3 linked regions of the Mus musculus genome follow. The protein of the gene in region 1 interacts with the protein of each later gene in a biochemical or structural test. Links are inferred from orthologs where the notes say so. Each region holds a gene or a part of one and is shown on either strand. Other genes may lie near its edges.

Evidence for each region.
Region 2: the proteins of Rb1 (region 1) and Ahr form a complex in vitro, tested with the Homo sapiens proteins (2 studies listed by BioGRID). The link is inferred for Mus musculus from reciprocal best matches to the Homo sapiens genes RB1 and AHR.
Region 3: the proteins of Rb1 (region 1) and Usp4 form a complex in vitro, tested with the Homo sapiens proteins (2 studies listed by BioGRID). The link is inferred for Mus musculus from reciprocal best matches to the Homo sapiens genes RB1 and USP4.

The regions. Positions count from the first base shown.
Region 1 is NC_000080.6:73,195,306-73,202,737, forward strand, and holds the end of Rb1 (retinoblastoma-associated protein), read right to left. Parts: intron 4,020-7,432; coding exon 3,877-4,019; intron 3,277-3,876; coding exon 3,227-3,276; intron 1,980-3,226; coding exon 1,906-1,979; 3' UTR 197-1,905; downstream 1-196. UniProt on the Homo sapiens protein: Tumor suppressor that is a key regulator of the G1/S transition of the cell cycle. The hypophosphorylated form binds transcription regulators of the E2F family, preventing transcription of E2F-responsive genes.
Region 2 is NC_000078.6:35,529,528-35,537,709, reverse strand, and holds the start of Ahr (aryl hydrocarbon receptor), read left to right. Parts: upstream 1-2,720; 5' UTR 2,721-3,086; coding exon 3,087-3,148; intron 3,149-8,182. UniProt on the Homo sapiens protein: Ligand-activated transcription factor that enables cells to adapt to changing conditions by sensing compounds from the environment, diet, microbiome and cellular metabolism, and which plays important roles in development, immunity and cancer.
Region 3 is NC_000075.6:108,345,082-108,353,292, reverse strand, and holds the start of Usp4 (ubiquitin carboxyl-terminal hydrolase 4), read right to left. Parts: upstream 5,463-8,211; 5' UTR 5,376-5,462; coding exon 5,275-5,375; intron 2,384-5,274; coding exon 2,256-2,383; intron 1-2,255.

The sequences.
Region 1 (7,432 bases):
AGCATACAGCTTTTTAGACAAATTCATTTCATAAAAAAGGAGACACAAGAGAACAGAATATATTAATATATAATACATACCATATGAATGCATAAAAAGTATATTTCTGTAAATCTGTCGGTCATCAGAATGGAAAAGATGTGAGGAGAAAGCTCAGATGCAGAAAACACTTAACTCAGAGATCATATCACACCAGTAAGGCTCTGAACAACTAGTTTATTTTAAAATAGACAAACTATTATAGAAAATAGGAACATAGCAATTTGAATGTATAGTTTCAACCGGTACAAAAAAACAAAACCAATAGTGCAGTGTCTGCAGCTTTAAGAAATCTCGAAGCAGGATCTCTGAAAATTCCTATGATTCTGTCACTAATTCTAACTTGAACTCACTAGCAAAAGACCTAGAAGTATGGTAAGCCCTTGACCTAAAACCTAACTAATCTGTGTGATGATCATGCAAAACTTAATGAAGAAATGGGGGAAGCTGTCTATTGCTTTTGTTATTGAGATAACTATCAAACTAGTAAAACTGAAACTAAATTGAGGACAAAATAGAAATTTGTTTCCTAACAAGACCAGATTTCTTTTCAAAAAGTATGGAGTTTAGAAAAAGTGATTTTCTTAAATGCTAGCTGATGCTACCTTAAATATCCCCTATTTTAAATTATACCATCTCTAAATAAGTTAATCCCACAAGATAATTTAAATACACCTTTAGGTGGGGGGTGAAGGGAGTGCCTCTATTTTCAATGCAGCTGTTTTCATCTGAAGTTTCTGCACAGCTGGACTAGAAATGGTGTGGCTTTGAAGAAGCCAGAGTTATTAGACCAGATTGGCTTAAAAAATAGATAACTGCAAGTTCAAAAGACCCTGGAAGATGTACCATTCCAGAGAGAACACAAACATCCCCAGATGTAGAAGAACAGAGTAAACTGTTGAGATGTAATTAGACACGTCTATGAGGGAAAAAAACTGAAGGCTTCTATAGTTAACAGTCTGCTTGTAAATCACAATTAATTTGTATCTTGATTCTTCAGGACCCAGAAACATTAAAAAGTGCACTTGGGTTGTACTGTACTAGGGTCCTCTTAAGCACAGTTGTGGCCAAACTTGACTTTCAAGTACTACATGGGTACTTATAAATTCAGTGATCTGAATGATTGAAAGAAAAAAACAACCTCGGAGTATTATCAATAGTCTTCAGTTCAAAGCATGTGTTGGGTGAATAAAAGAATCGGTTCTTAGAGGGTCTGAGGTATGAAATCTGTGTCAGTAGTAAGACAGTATCATATGATTATACTTTTTTTGCTTGTATTTCAAAAGTAAAATATGTGAAACAAACACACGGCACATTAGATTCTAATATTAAAATAGTCCAATGTGTAGAAATTAGTACTTTTTCCCAGTTTGTAACAATCTGTTTCAGTAGAAGATTCAAGATAATTTGGTTGAATGTGGACAGTCAATCAACTTGCATTTGGAAGACAAGACACATTTTCTAAGGGTATTCACGTTAAATTAAAAAATACATATAAATTAATAAAACCAAGAGCAAACATCACACATGTGCCATGAGGAAAGGCAAAGTAGTCAGCCAGATGTAGGGGGTCAGGACCCCTGCAGAGGCCCTCACTTCTGAGGGCAGCAGGCTCATGTTGGAAATGCAAACAACTTGCTTTCATATTTTAAATGGCATGATCTGCACAAGATTCTCAATCCTGTGTGCTATCAATTCTCTACCATTGATTACAACATTGAAGTGGCTTACGAATCACCCACACAAATATTCAGCTTGTACCTGCACATTTTATATCTCTAACATGAGCAGAACCTGGGAACTAGTCACAACCATGAGCCAGGAGTCTGGTGTCCCCAGGGCTGAGGGTCCAGGGCCCTGAGGTCCTCACTTTTCCTCCTTGTTTGAGACATCCTTGCTCTCATTCATTCTCTGCTTTTGCATTCGTGTTCGAGTGGAAGCTGGAAAAGCAACAAGAATATTAATAGTGCTGAGGACTCTGGGAAAGTAAGTGGACCAGGGGCAGGCAGCCCACCATGTCTGCACATGGGGTCCTGTGGGGTGGGGTGGGGTTGGGGCACACAAAACTTGAAGAGATATAATAGAGATGTATTAATTCATATAACTAGTATTTTAAGTGGTTAGCATATTTAATTTAGGTTCAAACGACACACTTAAGGGAAAGGGCTTTAAAAGTATGCAGAAGAAGTACAGCTCTGCTGTGTGCTTTCTCTGGCAGCTGCCATGCATGTCCAGTACCTGCCTGTAAGTCCTCATCACCTTCACTGGCAGTGGCCCCCACAAGCTTCTAAACACTTCTACTTTTTCTAAGTCCCTTTCTTTGCCTATTACTGGGTCTTGCAGCAGCTACTCTTACTACCACAGCTATGTGCCTAAGACAACCAGAACACTTAGCAAATACCGCTTCCTTCCATCTACTTAATTTTTTAGTCTCATAATAGCTTAGGGTGAAATTAAATTTGTCATACTATTCCAAAAATAACATTCATTTTATTGATTGATTGTATATATAGCCTGTCTGTTGCAGTGCTGAGAACTTAACTCAAGACCTTGTGCACATTAGGCAGCAAACACTCTGCTACTCAGTGACAACCCCTCACCCCACCATTCTAAATTGCTGTCACACTGACAGACCTGATCCCAATTTCCACAAATCTGACTTCCAGTAATGGAAACCTCTGTTTAGAACTGTCTCAAAGCCTGGAGAGTAAGGAAGTTTAACAAGCCCCTGGTGGTTTGTGTGTGCTCCATGGGTGGCCCTAAAGTTGTCTGCATACCACCAGCACTGACTGGACTCAGTGGCTATGGAAAAGGAAGAGGAGATAAGGCTGGGAGTGCAGTTTAAGGGGAGGTGCCTGGAAGAAGAGAGAAGGTGGCCAGTGAGGGGAGAATGCCATCAAATCATACTGCATACATGTACAAAATTTCAAAAAGTAATATTTTAAAGTACAGATCAACATCAGCTTAAGACTATTCAAAGTGTGCTGACCCACACTTTGTGAAACACACTTAGTCTACCAATGTGTGAGGTAAATTGTATACTCCTGTTTGAACTACTAGTTTGTAAATGCATAAATAACTGTGCCACTTGAAGGAATAATGTGTGGATTCCTTCAGAGTCAAAAGGCTTTCTTCAGTGAAATCAAATGCTGCTTCCCTGTTTGCAAAGTAAGAGAGGGGAACTTACTCATTTCTGCCAGTTTCTGTTGGAATTTGGACTCCGCTGGGAGATGTTTACTGCAGATTGGGGGGAAAAAAAAACACATTTTAAAAGCATGCATGCAACTTCCTAGTAACTCTGTTGCTTTCAATTACATGCTATTATTTTGGTTTAATTTCAAAAGCTTCTAAGTGATCTAAAAAAAGATATCACAAATTTATGATCTTATATATTTTTAGTGGTTTTTATAGAGCATAATTTAGTATTTTCTAAGAGTTTTTTAATTTAATGTTAAAACTAACAAATTTGTATCAATAGCTGTGTAAGTCCATGCTTAGACTTGTAATGTCTAAGTCGTCATGAATTTATAGATGGCAGATTTGCATGTTGCTTTCCACTGTACCACTTTACACTTAGTATGTTGTTTTCTCTTGTTTTTCCAGACAAGGTCTCACTATATAGCTGTGGCTGCCTTTGATCTCCCAGAGAGGGGCCTCATCTGCCTCCCAAGTGTTGGGATTAAAGGCATAGGCTACCTTCTCCCACATCTAGTCTCTTTAGTTGTTCTCACAAAGTGGTAAACTGGCAGGACAAGGCCTGAGGGGACTCAGGACGGGGCTGACAGTGGCTCTGTGCTCTGCTCAGCTACCTGGAGCAAGCATCTCCATGGTTCCTACCTCCCATCTGCTTCATCGGCTCCCTCGATGTCAAAGCGCAGCTTTTTCAGTGGTTTGGGGGGGTTGCCGCCTTCAGCACTTCTTTTGAGCACTCTGTCACTATTACACACCATCTGGTTTATTTTCTGGAACTTTTCAGATGTCTGTAAATTACAGAGTTCTTATTTTAAACCATTAAATAGCCACATTTTGAAGTCAGCAGCTACAAATTTTATTTTGAGATGCACCAAAAGTTAGGCAAAAGTAATCTCTTCATTTTAATTCTCTGCCTTACTGGACTAAGTGACAGATTTAAAAACAATTAGCATAAGGATGCCAATTCTGCCTTCATTAAACACCCATTCCTCCTGAATCCTCCCATCTATGCAAGCAGCTGATTCTCCCATCTATGCAAGCAGCTGATTCTCCCATCTATCCAAGCAGCTCTGATTCTGTGCTATCCCTGCGCTGTCAAGCACTGGCTAAGCCTATGGCCTTGCTGGCACTCAACGCTTGAAACCAGGACTTCTCAGAAGTAGTAAAGGTGGATCCTATTTCTAGAACTGAAATTAAAACAAAAAACAAAAAAAAAAAACAAAAAAACAAAAAAACAAAAAACCAAAAACCTTTTTTAAAAAAAGCTGTGATTTAGAGGATTACATAGCAAGAAGGAAGGCCATAGGAGCCGTGACTGATATACTCCCTGAGGTGGATTGAGTCATGGGATGTTGATATATCACTAACCATCACTCATCATGGATGGCATTGTTGAAATGTTGCTAATTTATAAAGGTTTTTAACTTAAATATTCAAAGACTTCACAATTTTAGTCCAGGCAATATTACTAGACATGTGACCTTGGTAAGACATGCCAGAACAGGCACACCACCCAATCTCACCCAGTAGATAAGTATGTGGAAACAGTCTGTCTCTTAGCTTCCATTTCATGACTGTCTCAGGCATGTGTATTACATGTTAGTTAAGCCAACAAATGAAGTTAGACTTTCAGATAGAACTTAAACATGAACTGATTGGTGCATTAGATAGGATCAGCTTAATTTAATGAAAATATATGTAGAGTACATATTCAACATGGCAGAAGCTAAGTCCCAGGGCCTTATTACTATGCGGATGAATAGTGTCTCCATTGTTTCACAGGCTGCAGTAAGCAAAAGTGTGATGACCTGTGTGAGCTGCCTTGCGTGAGGTGTAAACGAATGGTCCCACAGCTCCTTTGTAAAGCCCAGCAGCTACAGCCCGTCTTCAATCAGCTGTCACAGCACTGAGGATTTGTAAAATGAACTTTTACATTTTATTTAGCATATAAACTCCAACCAACCGCTAGAGCAGTGCTTTTTAACCTGTGGGTCAAGACCCCTTTGGCAAAACTCTATCTCCAAAATTATTTGTTATAATTCATAACAATATCAAAATTACAGTATGATGTAGCAACAAAACTAAGGTTCTGGTTGGGGCCAGCACACCAGGAAAGGGCCTCGGTGTTAGGAGGGCTCAGAACTAGCCAGTGCTCTAGGGTGTGCACACAGCTGTTCCCTCTCTTTCTCCTCTCTTCCTCTGTTTCCCTTTTCTTTCCCTCTTTTGTTTTCACCTAAAACAACATTAATGCTATATAGCCCATGCGGGCCTACAAATCACCATGTAGCTCAGGTTTGCCACAAACTCTTTTTTATTTTTTTCTCTTTTTGAAACTAGATGTTGTTCATACAATATATTTTGATCAGTTTCCCCTCTCCCACTGAGTTTCCCTCCATTTTTCTCTCCCACTGGAATTTATACCCCTTCTGTCTTTTGTTAGAAAACAAACAGGCATCTAAAGAATAATAATAAATAAAATAAAACAACTAAAATATGACAAAACAAATACACAGAAGAAAAAGGGCCAAAGAAAAAGCATGAGGTGGGCATATGGATGCAGGGCACGGGTTGGTACACGCAAGAATCCCTCAACACACAAACTGAAAGCTGTAACACACACAAAGAAAAACAGCCCTAGGAGACAAAAAGGAACTTCCAAAGTTGCCACTGAGTTTGTTTTGTGTAAATTATCTACTGCTGGGTACAGGACCTGCCCTGAAAGTATAGTTTGTATCCTCAGAGAGACTATTAGAGAGAACTGATTTTTCATTTCCAAGTAGTCACAAATTCTTGATCCTTCTACCTCAGTCTTCTGAGATTATAAACCACTGTGCTTGGTTCATCATGAAACCAATTATTTAAAAAATTGTATTTATTGTTGTTATATATGTGTGCACGCTGTGTGTGAATATAACAGTATGTGTACTGTGGTGCACATGCCAACAGCAGAGGACAAACTTTAGGAGTCAGTTTTCTCCTGCCACCTTTCATGTGGATTCTTGGGGTCAAACTCAGGCCCCTGGGCTTATGCAGCAAGCACATTTACCTCAGGTCCTTATTGATCAGAGAAAGACTAGCACCGAGAGGGAGCAGAAGGCAGTGGGAGGTGGGGTGAGTAAGTACAGGAAGGAGTGTTAGAGCGCGGGGGTGTGGGAGGAGGCCAGTGCCAGAGTCATGCTGCAGAGGCTATTGTGCTTCATTTCAGAGGACCTCACTTCAAACTTCTGTAAACATTTCTATGAGATTGTACACATACATGTTACCACATAGAAAGATATGAGGTCTTTGTCTTCTATTCCTGCTCCTAAAACCCTTGGAACTTCCCAAGTGATAAGGAAGATAGGGCCATCTTTTGTTCTAATAAAGAGACTCCTGATAGGCCCTTAGTATCAGTATGGAGTCAGAAAGACAAGCCCTGGTTAGAAGCTGGGAATTTTCAACCACGGTTCCTAACCTTCAGAGTAGGGAAAGTGGGTAGACATTTAGTTAATCAACTATTTGTACAAAATCCAATCCTTTAGCATTAGGCTTAGGAGAGCTCTGGAGATGCGGACTCCACAGGAGCGGGCCAGAAGCCCCAGTGGACATCACCCTATGTGTCTCTTCATCCGGCTGCTCATCTGTATCTTTTGTAATAAACTGCTATGGTCAGTAAACTATTTTCCAAAGTTTTATGAGTATTCTAGCAAATGGTCAAACTGGAAAAGAAAGATATTACAGGGATTCCCTGACTGTTGGCCAGTTTGGTTAGAAAATTAGTGCAACCCAGGAACTTGCCACTTACGACCTGGGCGAAGTTAATGACCTGAGCCCTGGAGCCAGTGGGATCCAAAGACTGCTGGGTAATCTGTCAGACTGAACTGGATGACAGCAGCTATGCATACAGTTGGAGAATTTATGTTTCACTTTGGGAGTACTGGGAACATAAAAACACTTTATGTGTGTATACAAATGACTATTTACATGTATATTACATAATCTCAGAGAAATGTTTAGAAAAAACTTGCAAGTTTCCCAATTATGAATATTATTCAAAGTTAAACCTGATTTGAAAATAACCTGAGACAGCCTAAAGGACCTATCTAGGCAACAGTGCCTTTAATCTCAAATTATGAAAATCTTCTATTTCTTTTTTAGTTGCAATATAAGTCACTGATGTCCACACAAGATGTTTAACAACAGAACACTAAATAAAGGATGA
Region 2 (8,182 bases), on another chromosome or scaffold:
ATTTCCACTGTAAATTTTACTAGTCTACTCAGTGTAACTCATCTATCCTTTCTCCCCTAACTTACATGGCACTCAACCCCAAACTGTTGGATCACCTGGAAGACCTTATTAAAGGACTCAGTAAAGACATTCTGTGCAAGTCCCCCCATTTCAGAAAAAAAAAAAATCATACTTAGGCTAATAATATTGGTGCTTAGACTGGCTTTGAACTTGTAGACTCCTTCCTGACTCAGCACACTATGTGCCGGGATTGCAGGTGGGAACCATGAAGCCCTATAGAAGCTATGGGGGACTTTACAAAGCAAAGCCCCTCAAGAACTGCTCTCGTTGTTAGCAAGTCCACCACAGCCCTGATCTCATTTCTGCTTGGGCACTTTCTCTGCTTTTCTATAAGTATCTATTGTTACTTATCACCTTTGTCTTTTTTTTTCCTCACAAAGTCAATGACCTCTTCATCTTTTGTAAAGAAGTAGAACAACCCCACTCATCACTCCCATTAAATCAACACTACATTATTATTAATTAGTAATTAACAATGGGGCCTCGCAAAATAGTTCACACTAGTCAGTGAATCTTTGTTCTCTTTTCTCGGCCTTCCTTGTTGAAATAACGGGGCCATTTTTCACCTTCCACTCCACCGGTGGACCCAGCTCTCGGGGTGGGGGGTGGGGGGTGGGGAGTGGGGGTGGGGCTCTTGAGCTTTCCAGGTTTTAGTCCTGGCAGTTCTTTTGCAGTACCCACAGGGCATCACCACACTCTCTTTTTTGTCCAATAGCAAACAGCTTCTCGATCACAGTTCCAGTTTCTACCTCACAGGTTGCCCCATTTACCATCTTTCCTTAGATGTCCTAAATCTATTTCAAACCTAAGAAGCATGAGGCCAGCTTTATAATTTCTTTCTGGTGATTCATGCCATTGTTACCCAGCTGGAAACATAGTTGAGAAAACTATCAATTTTAACTCTTAAATTTGTTTCTAATATTAGCACACAAAGCGATGGGCTTAATGAAATGTATGAATTACCATGCTCCCATTCTGCTGGACGCCCCCCCCCCATTCCTTCCCCCACTCCTGCTGCTCTGCTTGCTCCCACAGGATCCCCTCTTCTCCTTCTGTGTCATGTGTATTCTCCTGCCCTTTCTCTTCTCACCTCCAACCCAAGAGCTCCTTTTTCCACTCTCATGATCGCTTTCCTAGTTTCAACATGTGTAAAAATCAAAATCTAGAGCATACATCTAGAGAAAACATGGTATTTGCCTTCTGTGTCTGCCATGCTTAACACGGCAGCCTCCAGTTCCACTTGTTTACCTGCAAATGCCATGATTTCAGTTTTATTCAGAGTCCCATAAAATGCCATTGTGTAGACGCACTACATTTTATTTATCCATCCATAGGTTGATGTGAATCTAGTCTGGGTCCACTTCTCACTTGTTTTGAATGAAGGGCTATCAGGTATGTGCGCAGGAGAATAGCAGGTCATCTTGTGGATCTGTTTTTAATTTGTTGAGAAACTCTATACAGAGTTCCACAGTGGCTGGACCAGTTTACAACCACCCACAGTGATGCGGGTTCTTCTTCCTCCACAGCCTGGGCACCATTTGTTGTTCTTAGTTTTCTCGCTATCCTTTTCCTTGCTGTTGTGTATCCTCTCTTCTGATCTCTTTCTCAAATCTATAAAACACATCAGACTTCATCTCTATCTCTTCATGTCCAGCATCACCTACCTGACTCCCAAAATTCACTTCTCTGCCTCTATTCTTTGGTGGTTAACAGCGACCTTCCCTCTTCCTTTATCATCTCTGCTGTCTCTTTTCTCTCATCCCCATGGCTGTGCCATTGGTCTTGCAGCTGGTCGATTTCATCAATTTCCCAGCGATTCTCTCTTCCATCTGTTTTGTTCCTGAGTAACAGAATTTCCACCTTTTCCCACAGTGACTTTCCCAAGAAAGATGGAACATCATCTTCCAAATTACGCCTTTAAAAGCTCTCTGTTGTCTGCAGAATGAGACCCAATTTCTTCATTAAATCTTTATGATTTGTTCCTAGATTATCTTTTTTTTTTTTTTTCTTTTTCCTCCCATCAGCTCTACCGTACTACTAACAGAAACTCAGGTCTCTGGTCATAGTCTCAGTACCTACCCTCCAATTTCTCATGCTCTCAGCACTCCTGTGCTTCTTTCCTTCTCATCTTCCTGAAGTCTGATGGAGGAAACGATGTTTTATTGTCTTCTGTAGACATAAAATAAATGTGGGAGGGAAAAGGATTATAAAACTCGTAGCCTTCAAGACAACTAACTTTGCAGGGCATTTTTGAAGTTTTCCCCTTAGAATGCTCTCCAGTCGCAGTTATTTATCTACCAGCTCAATGTAAAATCTTTGTCAAAAATTAGATGACTCAACTCTAGGATGAGCTAAGCTCTTTGCCTGGTAAATCTTGATGTCTGGGTTACAAGGAATTTGCCTAGGCATAATGTGGCCTCACACCCCTTTTGAGGCTGGAAAACAGGTACTGGGCGAACACCACCCCACCCCCAGAACCTCGGACTGCAAGAAGTGTTGGGAGTCACTACGTCCTGCGTCATCACGTGCTGCGAAGAGGGTGGGGCCCTCCTGGGAACCGTGAGGGGCGGGGCCGAGCAGGTGGGGCGGGGCTGGAGCCCGGGGCGGAGCTGCGCGGGGTCGCGGCTGCGGAGGAGCGGGCTCGCGGCGGGCGGCAGCGTGTGTGTGCGCTCCCTTTGACGCTCGGTGCCCCACGCGTGTCCCGGAGAGGCTCAGCCCGGAGCGACCCGGAGGACGAACTGGTGGACGGACTCGGGGGTGGCTGCCAGGCAGGGTTGTGAGCGACGCCGCGGCACAGCGCGGGAGCCGGGAAGCCCTAGAGCACTGCGGCCCCTCCTGACCCTCGGGACCGGGCGCGGCTAGCGTGCGGGTTTCTCCTCCGCGGCCAGCTCGGGCAGCCCGAGTCTCCTCTGTCGCCCGCACCTGCGCGTCGCGGTCGTCCCGCCCTCGGCGGCGGCTCACCTGGGCGCAGCGCGGGCAGGGCGCCGCCTCCGGGACGCAGGTGGAGCGGGCAGGGCGCGGGCACCATGAGCAGCGGCGCCAACATCACCTATGCCAGCCGCAAGCGGCGCAAGCCGGTGCAGAAAACGTGAGTGACGGCGGGCAGGCGCGCTCCGAGGGTGCGGGAGGTCCCCACGCGTGCCGCCATCCAGGAGCTGAGTCTCAACCAATGCGTTAAAAAAAAAAAAATCCTGCTTTCAGGCACCTGCACCTTTACTGCTCAGCGACCTTCCCTGGCTGGTTCGTTGACAGCTCTGACCTACCTAGTGCCGCTCTAGCTTAGTTAGTTAAGCTTGCCTGGAAATCCTCCACTCTAGATCTCCGCTGCCGTGAGCTTTAGGGGACACGGAGGATAAGTAGACAGCTCACTGAGGTGAGATGTTGGGCAGAGCTAAACACGTGTTGTCTTGAAGGAGGGGACCTGTGCCTTTGAAGGAATGTCTTTCTGTTCTTAGCGCCTAGCTTTCTGTTTTGCTCTCTCATTTACTTCCTAGGCAGCAGTTCTGCAGGGCTCGGTGTAGGCGCAGAATTGATAGCAGGTTGGAGTGTGCAGTGGACAGGTGCCCTGGCAGCTTGGTGGCATTCTTAGCCACTCTTTGGTGCAGTTTTCTTCCTCCTTTTGGAGTGCTTTTGGGTCTGTAAAATTTTAAATCATTAAGAAGAGGAAAAAGAACTAGACTGACTTCTAAGTTATTTCTACTCTCTACCTGTAGTTCATTTCCCCTTGCTTTTTTTTTTTTTTTTTTTTTTTTTTTTTTTTTTTTTTTGCCAATTCTGACAGAGATTACAGGCTTTGGTCTTTATTTCCATGGGCTATTTGTATGAGATGGGAGATTTTTTTTCCCCCCTCAGAAAAGAGATTCATGATTGAGACAGGGTTCCATTTAGGAGTTGTCTGTATTGATGCATTCATTCATAATTACCTTGGAGTTTCCACATCTCACCATTTGTTATTTTTTTAAAAAAATAAATTATTTTAGGAACACTTTCAGGCAATCAGTAGTGTGTGTTTTGCTTGAAACATGACAGCTATCACCAAGTGAACCAAAAAAAGAAAACAAAAACAACAAAAAAACCAACTTAAGATTTATACACTGTTTACAAATAGTTACTAGCTTAGAAGTTGGGTTATTTGTGGATTTTAATTCCCCTTAAGAATTTCAACTGTCCTAGTTCCTCAAATCTTGACTTACAAATTAATATTGAGAGGAGATGTCCATGTGTAAATAGTTTGATCAGAATTTGGAAGTTTTATGGTTGGTACACTTTAAAGGACGCAAATGTCGTTGACTCAGCAGTTTTCTACCCCGGCAGTTCTTTGGACCCTGGCTTTCAGTGCTTTAGTATTTTGTAGGACGGTTTCTTTTTGTTAAAACATGTTTGCTCAATTTGACTTTGTTCCTGGCAGTTACAGTTTCCGAGGCTTTCAAGTGCTTGTTCCCTGTTTTCATTAATAGTAATACTAACTCAGTATGAGATGAAAAATCTCAGGTATTATGTACATGGGCATAAAACTTGGAGCTCCGCTTGAGTGTCTAAGTCTAAGTAACTGATTTTCCTTATGTTATTTAAGGACATAAACTGCTTTCTATACAAAGGTCACCATCTTAAATGTTATTCATTATAACGGCGAGTGCTCTTAGTTTCTAGTTAATATAGAGAGCTTCCTTTTTAACACGACAACACTTCCTTTTAGATTAAGTTACACCTTTTATTATATTGTCTCACTATTTGCATTTGATAATTTCGGACAACTAAACTGTTGTCCCCACGAACTTATATTTTATTTTATTTGGTCCTTGACTTCTGTTTATCAGATCTGTACTGAACACCTTTAATCAACTCTGAGCCTTCAAATGCCTTAAAGGTCACCAGCTTGCTTTGTCGAAGACTTTAGTGCTGGCACTTAGGTCCTTTAGTGAAAGTACTTACGTTGTCCCCCCTGAACAGAAAATAGTGAGCTGTATAATCACATAATCAAAGTTCACCCTTAACAACCAGGTCACCAAGCTTTAGTATGAGTCTTTAAGTTAAACTACTTAGCCTGTGTGCAATGAGGCCCCAAATACCTCAATTTCAGGAAAAAACACAAGTGTTGACTGTGCTTTCTAATTTAATTAACTTGTACCCTTTAAGGTATAGCTGTTTTATACGGAGCATACCCATTGTAATTCTAGTGTCGAAAAATGTCATATTTAAATATACAGTTCCGTGAAAATTTGGAGTAAAGTGGGTGACATGATTTTAACCCGAAGTTCTTTCAGTCTTCAAATGAGGATCTAGATGCAAAATAAGCCCCCTCTAGTGGCCGGTCCCACCATGACAGTTATCTGTAGAAGGAAATCAGTTTGAAATGTGTTCAATTCCATCCAAGGACAGTGTTTTGTATACACTACACTGTGAATAGCTGTTTCCTCCTTCTTCAGTGCAATGAAAGTTAGGAAATTAAGAGATCCTAAGCAGCCTTGCATCTAGCCCATATCCTCATCTTCAAAGGCAGAATGTCAAAGACCAACCTGGGAATAGAATCTTCTGGGATGTGTCTGTTTCCACTTAAATCCTGTTCTTGCTTATTCTCTTTGGAGAGGAAAATGTTGTGTGCAGTTGTTTAGTTATTCAGTCTCATGAAAATGGCTGAGCAAAGCAGAAGATGGAACAATCTACTCTGGTGATTAAAACTTGAAATATATTTTGAAGCTTTATTAAGACAGAAAAGGTCTTACTTACTGCTACTGGTAGTTTAGGATTGCTAGCAAACAGCAGATGCTCAATCAATAAAACCTGCAGCTGTGGTGGTATTCAAGCCAGCCGTAGCAAGGCTCTCATGATCTGCTGCTAAGTACACACCAATATCAATTTTTACCTTGTTAGTATTCAGGAATGCTGAAGTAATATAGAAGCCCTTCACTCTATTAAAACGTTGTGAGCCCCATCTGTATAACAAAACTTTACTAATCATTTTGTTACAGTACACAATACTAAATTTTCCGCAGATCTACAGTATGGGGCCCTTTGCTAGACAGCACCTGACATGAAAGGACTTTGCAGCTACCGTACTATTTTTCATTTTCTCTCAGATAGCAATAGTGAGAGGGCATCTATGCCGAGGCTGTGGATGTGCCTCATGCTCACCCATGGATGTGTCTAACACAAGGGCTCACATCAAACTGAACGAAAGAAGCAACAGATTCAAACTAAAGGGTGAGGCCTAGTTTCTGTTACTGTTGTTTTTCTGTATTAAAATTCTCTTTTTCATACAATATATTTTGACCGTATTCTTTCTCCTCCTTCAACTCCTCCTAGGCCCTCCCTTCTACTCTCCCCACACCATTTCCTGTTCTTTCTCTCTCCCTTTCCTGGTCAAGTTTTTGTTTTGTTTTGTTTTATTTTGTTTTGTTTTTTGTTTTTACTAGCAGGGCAGTCTCCTCCACTGCTGTTCTTACAACTAAACTAGGAAAGCAGAAGGTCAAGTAAACCCGAAGGCTGCTGGAGACCCAGTGGAGGCCTAGTCTTTAACTACTGCTGGTTATGTGTTGCAGGCCTGACAGACAGACACTGCCGGATCTTATTTTCCCCAGCAGAGACCAGTACAGTCTCCTTCCTGTGTTTAGTTAACACCATTACTTAGGAGTGAGCACTACGCAGGTCTTTAACAGTATTCTACTTCTAAACTCTTTAAAAACTGTTTCTTTGGCAGTGTCATATAGCAAAATTTGCTCTTATTCCCCAATATATACTGATAGGATCATTGAACACAGAATTTTCCATACATAGTTTAGTCTCCTTTCTGTAATAGTACTATGGAAATAATGTTATCATTTCTGGCTCAGGCCACTGGGACCTAAGGTTCACATTCAAAGTTGATTCAGGTAATAAGTGGAAAACTGGACTTTGGTTATTGCATCTCTAGTTGTTGGCTCTAAAGCCTTATGTTCTTAACTACAGTGCAGGACTGTCTAGATGAACAGGTTAATCAGAGTGCATGATGGCCCCTGTCCTGGGCATTGCCACTTGTCCACTGCACCTTCTTTAATGACACTGAGGCTGAAACAGTTGACTGCCATTTCAGGACTCAGTCTGTGCCAGCCCATCTCCTGCTTTTGTATTCATGTCTTTTTTCTTAGAGTCCTTCCAGCCCCCATTTCCCTGCACACATCTCCCTGTGAAGCACTTTGAACAACTGCATGTTGTTCTGTTGACTAACTCCAGGATTTTCCTTTCGAGGGCACATTCTGTCACTTCTAGCATTTCTGCAATTTACCTGGTGTTTCAGAGAATCGTCTGGAGGTCTGTAAACTCTTATATAAATGTGTCATTTCCATAGGACAGACCTCTTTAGGTGGAATTTGGGGGGGCAAGGGTTTATATACTTCTAAGGATGAGCCGAATGTTACAGTCAGATATAGTGTCAAATTAGATTATAAATTTTTTTGTGACTTACATTCACATTGTTTGTCAAAGAGACATGTCTGTATCCACGTATTTTACATAAAAATATTACCAAGTGATGGGAATGGTTGAGCTGGTATATTGTGACTGTGTTTGTGTGCAGTAGTCGGATTTTATGCTGCCTGTATTGACTTACGTTGTCTAATACTTTTCAGCTTCTTAGTTTGTTCTTTCTCTTGTTCAGAATTAAATTCCTGTAAACTGTGTACACATTTTAAAAGTCAGTGCCACACAGTACCTGCCACCTTGCCCACAGTGTGCTGGGCATTGTCTTTGGTGCGTCCTGTGAGGAAGTCAACTTTCCATCTCTCCCGGGTTTGCTTCATCTCTTCCTGGCCTCAGAGTTTTAGGTTAAATATGCTTTCAGCCTTTCATTGTTTTTGACTATGTCAATGTCTTTGCTGCCGAGCTAAGTAATATTCTGTGATTGTATTTCCCTGCCACTGAAATATATCGGTAATTTACACCATTTTCCATCTTAATTGTCTTTTTCATGTGGGTACAGTGTCTTAGGTGTGTGAAAGACAGGATTTCTGCCGTTGTGTTTCCCTTTATTTCTGAAGGAGGGGTAGTTGCAGAAAGTATTGTATTTTGTCATCATGAATCCAGAATGTCTTGCTTCTGTTTAACACCCGCGTCTCTAGGAACACTTGCTAAACCACCTACATCACTG
Region 3 (8,211 bases), on another chromosome or scaffold:
CTGTCTCACACACAAACAGATACATTTTTAACCTAGAAAAATGTAAGATTAATAAAAACCTGAAAGCCAGACTCAATGGCACAAGACTTTAATTTCATAACTTGGGAGGCTAAGACAGGAAGGCAGTGATTTCAATGTCAGCTTACGCTACATAGCAAGTTTGAAGGAACACAGCAAAACTCTATCTGTAAAATAAAGCAAGAGTATAGTTGTAGTGGCACACTCCTGAAACTCCAACACAAAGGAGGCAACTGCAGGAGGATTAACTCAACTGCAAGGCCAGCCAGGGCAACACGGGGAAGACACTGCCTGAGCAAAATCCAACAGAAATGGAGGGAGCTGGAGAAACGGCTCCACAGGTAGCGGCATTTACTGCCAAGCCTGAGGACATGAGTTGGTCCCTAGATGATGGATCCCACAGGGTAAGAGGAAAGAAACACCTTCCATCAGCAGCACTCTGACCTCCACATGCACACCACATAAACACCAGAGAACACTCATGAGCACACTCGCACACACACAGGAATATATTAAGTGTATGAATACACGCCTGCCTGCCTGCCTGCCTGCCTGCCTGCCTGCCTCTGGCAGATTCTGGACACAGGTACAGGAGTGAGCATTTGGGGAAGCTGACCTCACAGTCACAGGATCCATCATCCATCACTTCTGCTGACACACTTAACAGGACAGCGCCGAGGTCAGAAGCCACAACTCTACTGACCTTCTACCTCTCCTTACGCTATTCCTACTATAAACAGTCGGTACAGAGAGGCCTGATGACGTTTAATATGCATGCAATTTGTCCTACTTCACAGGTATCAACATTTTGTGGGTACAGCTAAGTGTAGTGGCACACACCTTTAATCCCAGCACTGGGGAGGCAGAGGCAGGCAGATCTCTGTGTGTTCAAGGGCAGCCTGGTCTATATACTTAGTGCTAGGGCATTCAGGGCTATGCAGAGAGACCCTCTTCTTGAAAACAAAATCAAAAACCAAAACAAAACAGAAAAACAGCATCAATGCCCAGACCAATTACTGGATATACTGAATTTGATCACAGCAATGAAAGAAAAGGGGAGGGCATGATTCCCAGTTTTCAGACTATAGGCGCAATCTAAAATGACTATTCTTCTTTCTTGTTTACATACAAATCCAAAAACCTAAAAAAGAAAAAGAAAACTAAGGGGCCAGCAAGGCAGTTCAGCAAGGACGAGCACCGTTGCTCCTGCAGAGGACCAAGTGCGGGTCTAGGCACCTCTGCGGAGCAGCTCACAACCTACTGCTCCAGGGGAGCCTAAATTCCCTTCTGGATCCCCAGGAACTGCACTTCACATGCACAGCTCATTCAGATCCACATCCATACACACAATTAAAAAACAGAAAGTAGAGACAAAACGTTACGAGGTAGACAGGTAAGATGTCTTCTGAGAACCAACTGCAGAAAGCTATACTTTGGCCTTAACATACACAGTGACTCACTGGCACACACATCATACACATCCTACATTGTGCACATATACAGTAAAAATAAAAATATGAAAAAAACATTAGTATGCTATAAAATGTGGCCGTTCGAATGAGGATGGGCCATTTAAGCTCGCGTGTTTGAATCTTTGGTTCCCAATGGTAGTACTGTTTGGGAAGGATAAGGAGGGGTGTGGCCTTGCTGAAAGAGGTGTGTCACTGAAGGGTGGTCTTGAGGTTTCATAAACCCTCACCTAGCTCTGTCTGTCTCTAGTGTGTCTTCAGACACTCCAGAAGAGAGCATCAGATTCCGTTATGGATGGTTGTGAGCCACCATGTGGTTGCTGGAATTTGAATTCAGGACCTTTGGAAGAGCAGTCGGTGCTCTTAACCACTGAGCCAGCTCACCAGCCTCCCTCAGCTACTTCTTAGTGCCACACTCACCTGCTGGTACCAAACTCTTTCCACCACGATAATCCTGAACTAACTTGCTGAAACTGTAAGCCAGCCCCCAATTAAGTGACTCTTTATAAGTTGCCATGTTCATAGTGTCTCTTCACAGCAACAGAACGGTAACAAAAAAGGCATGCTTCTGCTAGAAGTAGTTGTTTAGGGCAAAATAACTACTTGACTTTTCCCTAATAATCTGCAAAGACGTCTACTACAGATGTAAAGGAACACGTCTATGTCTTCACATTATGAAAGTTTCACACTCATGAGGACCATGGTAGAGATACACGCAGCCCCTGACTGGCCCATGAGAACTACAGTAGAAAACTGAGCATACTCCACCTGAGAAGAGTCCGGAGTTGTCAATAGGTCCAGGAAACAGGTTATGCTCCCCGACATTGTACATGTCCCAGCTGTCAAAGCCCACATACTTCTTCCACTGCTTGAACCACCGGCTGTCAATAAGATACCTAGGGAGAAATAGCAGCTACATATAAAATACAGCTGAATAAAGAAACACAGTTTTAAAAACCCAAAGCATTATGTTTTGCAGCTCTCCTTTAATTTTCATCTTTAGACACCTACCTTAAGCTCCTTATGGTCTTCTCACCAAGGTAATATACAATTCTCACAAAATCACGTTTGGGGGGAGGGGAGCTTTTCAAGATAGGGTTTCTCTGTGTAGCCCTGGCTGTCCTAGAACTTGCTCTGTAGACCAGGCTAACCTCAAATGCAGAGATCTGCCTGCCACTGCCTCCTGAGTGCTGGTACTAGAAGTGTGCATTACCGCCACTGTCGACTAAAATCACACTCCTAATATCAAGAACAGAAGTTAGCCCCACATGGCAGAGAGGGCCTAATCTATGCCAGGTATTCACTAAGAAAAATGACTGCTAAGAGAATAAGTAGAGGAAGTTTGTGGTGACCCACATCTATGATTCCAGCATCTGTGAGGTCCAGGCAAAAAGGTCAATCTACCCTGCACAGTAAGCTTGAGGTTCCCTCCCTTGGGCTACAAGAGACCCTATCTGTAAAAGACAAAACAAAGCTACACATGCTAGCACATGCTGGCCTTTACATCCCAGCACTCAGGAGGCATAGACACTTGGATGTCTATGAGTTCCAGTCCAGCTTGGTCTACATAGGGAATTCCAGACCAGTCAAGGTTACCTAATATGACCACGTCTGAAAAAAAATGAACAAGGGACTGGAAAGATAATTCAGAGGTTAAGAGAGTCTTGTGCTCTGCCAAAGGACTCAAGTTTGGTTCCTAGCACCCATGTATGGTATGCACAACTCTAGCTCCAGGAAATCCAACAGCCTCTTCTATTCTGCATAGGCATCTGCATGCATAGCGTGTGCCATACATTCTCATATTCCTCTCCCTCCCCCCCCTCTCTCTCTGCCTGTCTCTTTCTCTCTCACACACAAGACACTGCGATCACTTATCTGTAATCCCAGCACACAGGAGGCAGATGCAGAAGAGTCTGCAAGTCTGTGGCCAGCCTGGCTACATCTCAAGTTCCAAACCAGTAGGGGCCACAGGGAGACCTTGTCTCAGAAACAAACAACCAAAACCATAAACGATTATTGAAAGAATTTTAAAACTAATTAACTTTGGAGATGGCGGGGGGGGGGGGGGAGGTGCACCCTCAGTATGTAGCCCAGGATAGCCTTGAACTAGAGAGATCCACCTGTGTATGCCTCCCAGAGGCTGGGATTAAAGTTGTGTGACACTATGCCTAGTTAGGATTTAATTTATTTCAGTTTTTCGAAACATGGTTTCTCTGTCTGTCCTGTCTGTAGACTGAGCTGGCCTCAAACTCTGAGATCCACCTGCCTCTGCCTCCCAAGCGCTGGGACTAAAGATGTGTGCCACCGCTCCTGGGCTGAGTTTTTCTTTTTAATTATGCTTTGGTTATGTGCCTGAGTTTGAGCATGACTCCCAGTGCCCACGGAGGTCAGGGGAGTTGCTATCCCTGGAGCTGGAGCTTGAGTTACAGATGGCAGGGAGGCACCAAACCCGAGTGCTGGGCCTCAGACTCAGGCACTGCAAGAATAATCTAAGTTCTCAGATGCTGAGCAGTCTCACCAGCCCATGAGCAATCATTTCAAATGGACTCTTTCTACAAGTAAAACTATGTTACTAAGTTATTAATCACATTACCCACCACCATTTTTTTTTTTTTTTTGAGACAAGGCTTTTACTATGTCACTGAGGTTGGCCCTGAAATTTGGCAGCAATACTCCTCCAGGACTAAGACTACAGGCATGAGCATCCAGACCAACCTGAATATTCTTTCTGTGTCATCCCTTTGCAGAATTTCTAAAGTACCTCTCTCTATTTGTCTGGCCTTTCACTGGCTCAATTTAAACACCATAAACTACACCTAGACCACACCCCAAACACATAAGTTCTGTTCTCTTTTTCAGTCCTCATATTGGTCATAATCAATGAGAAACCTACCCTATTATTTGACTCCTACACAGCAGCACCACCCAGGCATTTCTCCCCGACTGGGGAGTACAATCCCTTCTAGTTAACAATCTCTTAAGAGGCCTCATATTTGAATCTGCTCTAGTAAACCTGGAACTTTTTTTTTGGGGGGGGGGTGCTGCTCACTGTATGAGACCAGCCCTGAACCTACAGCAATCCTACAGCCTCTGCTCCTGCAAACCAATAAAGCATATGCCAGCGTGCCTGGCAAAGTCTTGTAACTTTCGATCTTCTATTTTGCTCCAGGAGTCAAGCTCCCCTCCCTTCCCCTCCCCTCCCACTCTTACATCTAACTACTGCTACAATTGTCCCGGACCATCTGACAACTGGCTTCTAGTTTTTGGCTTTGAATCCTGTCCCACGGTTTACAAGTTACAAAGTATCACAGTTTACAAGTTACAAAGTATCCACTTCGGATCCTCTCTCCACGCCAGGAGCGTCCTAAGCCACAAATTGCTACCGAGGTTTTAATTGTTAAGGATCGGAGGTGTGTAAGGGGTGGAAACTTCCCCCACCAAGGTCACCATCAAGCGCCCAAGTCTTCGGTGGTTAAGTGCTTTCCCCCACCTTCCCGCTCCCGCCGACCCCAGCGCGCCCCCTTTTCTATATTCTACACCCCCTGTCCCCGCCGGTCCAAGACTACTGTGAATCCGAATGGACCGGGACAAACCCCACGCCTGTCAGCGCTGTCCCCCAGCTGATCCCGGGGTTTCTTTCATCAGCGGCCGCTGTCAAGCCACTCTTTCAGACTCCAGGCACCGCCCCCGGCCCGCCTCCACCTAAAACTGAGGACAGAGGTCCGGCCTGAGGGCCAGCGAGCCGGCTAGACGCTCTGCGCCGCAGGAGGGCAGGGCGGACGCTCACCACTGCGCCCCACGTTGGAGCGTGGTCCCCATCAAGGCTCCGAGCTCCGTCTTCTGGGTCTCCACATCCGGTCGCTCACGGCTGCCCCGGCCTTCCGCCATCTCGTCCGCCGCCCCGGCCCAGCCGGCCCGGACATCCGCCTAGCGCACGGCGTGCTATGGGCCGCGCCCACGCACGCACGTAACCACGCACGTGCGCGCGCCCGGCACCGCCGTCGACTTTCGCCTCTTCTCCCCGCCCCCACGCGCTGTTAACCCCCCCCCGCCCCCTCCGGAGCCGAAGCGGACAGAAGCAGGCTGGACGCCCAGAGGCGGCGGCCACATCCACCCGTGTCTGAGCGGCTCCTGCGATCTGACTGCTGGCCCGCCCTCGACCCATCAGTCACTCGCTCCATCCTGGCCTGTGAGGTTAGCCTGATGCTAAATCCGTGCAGGAGGAGCCTGCCGCTTGCTTTTCTTGTTTCCACTCGGTTCCATGCGGCTTTCAGCAAGACTGCCTAAATGCGAGATTGAATTTACTGCCTCGGCAGCCCCTGTAGCCAAGTGCACACGGACGCATTGAGATCTGGACTGTCCGGTGTGGTCCAGCCATTAATAGTTGTTTCAAACAAGGGCCGGCGCGATGGCTACGTGGGTGACAACTGGGTTTGATCCCCAGAACCCGTGTAAAAGTGGAAAAAGAAAACTGACTCTTTAAAGTTGTCCTTTGTTCTCGACACAGACACTGTGGCACGCGTTCGCCAAACAGGCACACAATAGTGAAATTTGTTGTTTGTTTGGGACAGGTTTCTTCTAGCTGCTGTCCTGGAGCTGTTTATGTAATCTAGGCTAGTCTCGAATTTAGGCCCATTTGCCCTTTTCTCCAGAGTGCTGGGATTAAAAGCATACATCACCACACCTGCAAAAAACAAAAATAAAGTCATAAATAGACGCAAAAAACAAAGTTGTCTTAAACAACTTTGTATCCTGTCAGCCATCCAGGTCAAGGAGAGAGTAGCAACCACCGAAGCCGACAGAGGTCCAGGCATCTTAATTTTTTCCTGAAACAATGATTCCGTTTTCTTCCGGGCGGTGATGGCACAGGCTTTTAACCCAGCACTCAGGAGGCAGAGGTAGGCAGATCTCTGAATTCGAAGCCAGCCTGGTCTACAGAGAGAATTTTAGGACAACCAAGGCTACAAGAAACCCTGTCTTGAGGAGAAGAAGAAGAAGAAGAAGAAGAAGGAGAAGGAGGAGAAGGAGGAGGAGAAGGAGGAGAAGAAGGAGGAGGAGGAGAAGAAGGAAAAGGAGAAGGAGAAGGAGAAAAGGAGAAGGAGGAGGAGGAGGAGGAGGAGGAGGAGGAGGAGGAGGAGGAGGAGGAGAAGGAGAAGGAGAAGGAGAAGGAGAAGGAGAAGGAGAAGGAGAAGAAGAAGAAGAAGAAGAAGAAGAAGAAGAAGAAGAAGAAGAAGAAGAAAAAGAAAAGATTGCAAGTCTTGAAAATCTTGCTCTGGAACAGGTTTAAAAGCATGGTAGAAAGCCATCTGTGGAGATGCCCGGGCAACTGGTGAGCTTTTGCTTTTCAGGCAAATCCTGTTTTGTTTCGGTTTTTTTTTTTTCGAGACAGGGTTTCTCTGTGTAGCCCTGGCTGTCCTGGAACTCACTCTGTAGACCAGACTGACCTTGAACTCAGAAATCCGCCTGCCTCTGCCTCCTGCTGTGGTTAAAGGTGTGCACCACCACACCTGGCACAAATCCTGTTCTTAACAGTAAGGCAAGTAAAACAGTTTCTTGGCGGATAGGAAAGCATGTCCTTCAAAAAACTAATACAAAACAAACGAACCCCCAATTCCCTCACCTTCCCAGTAGATTAAAAAAAAAAGATACATTTTATTTTATGTGTATGTGTGTGCGCCCTGCATAAATGTATGTGCACCACCTGTATGCAGGCACCCTCAGGCCAGAGAGCATTGTAACCCCGAGAGCAATGGTTCTCAACCTTCCTTATGCTGGGAGTCTTTAATACAGTTCCTCATGTTGTAGTGACCCCCCTACCAAATTATTTTGTTGCTACTTCACAGGTGTAATTTTGCCGGGCAGTGGTGGCACAGGCCTTTGATCCCAGCACTTGGGAGGCAGAGGCAGGTATATTTCTTTTTTTTTTTTTTTTTTTTTTTTTTTTGGTTTTTCGAGACAGAGTTTCTCTGTGTAGCCCTGGCTCTCCTGGAACTCACTTTGTAGACCAGGCTGGCCTCCAACTCAGAAATCTGCCTGCCTCTGCCTCCCGAGTGCTGGGATTAAAGGCATGAGCCACCATGCTGGGCTGGCAGGTGGATTTCTGAGTTGGAGGCCAGCCTGGTCTACAGAGTGAGTAACGGGACAGCTAGGGCTATACAGAGAAACCCTGTCTCGAAAAACCAAAAAAGAAAAAAAGAAAAGAAAAGCTTAAAAAGGAAAAAAAAAAAAATGGAAGACTTTGATTTAAGTAATGTTTGAGTATGGTCCTGAAGAAACAGTTGGGAGGAAGAAGCATAAATCAGAAGGAATGCAATTCATTGTCAGAGTGGGGATTAGGCCAAAGAGCTGAGCTTTGACTGTTGGGAAGGTTAAGGAGTCTACAGCTAGAGAGGAAGCAAGTGGGACCACTAGTTTAATGAAGGCAGTCATTAGAGATTGGGACAGAGGTGAGATGCCTGAGGGTGTCTTACAGCACAAAGAGGCACCGGGGACCTAGGTCAGTTAGGAACCAAATGACTGTAGCTTCAGGGGAAGACACAGATCTCGGCTGTCGTGGCAGAGGGGATCCATCCAGTGCAGGTGACATAGGTCACTTGAGAAGACTGTATGTTGGCTTTTTTGTTTGTTTGGTTTTGGTTTTTTAGCTAATTGACATAATTTTTTTTTAAATAGTTTTTTTTTTTTAATATTTATTTATTTATTATATGTAAGTACACTGTAGCTG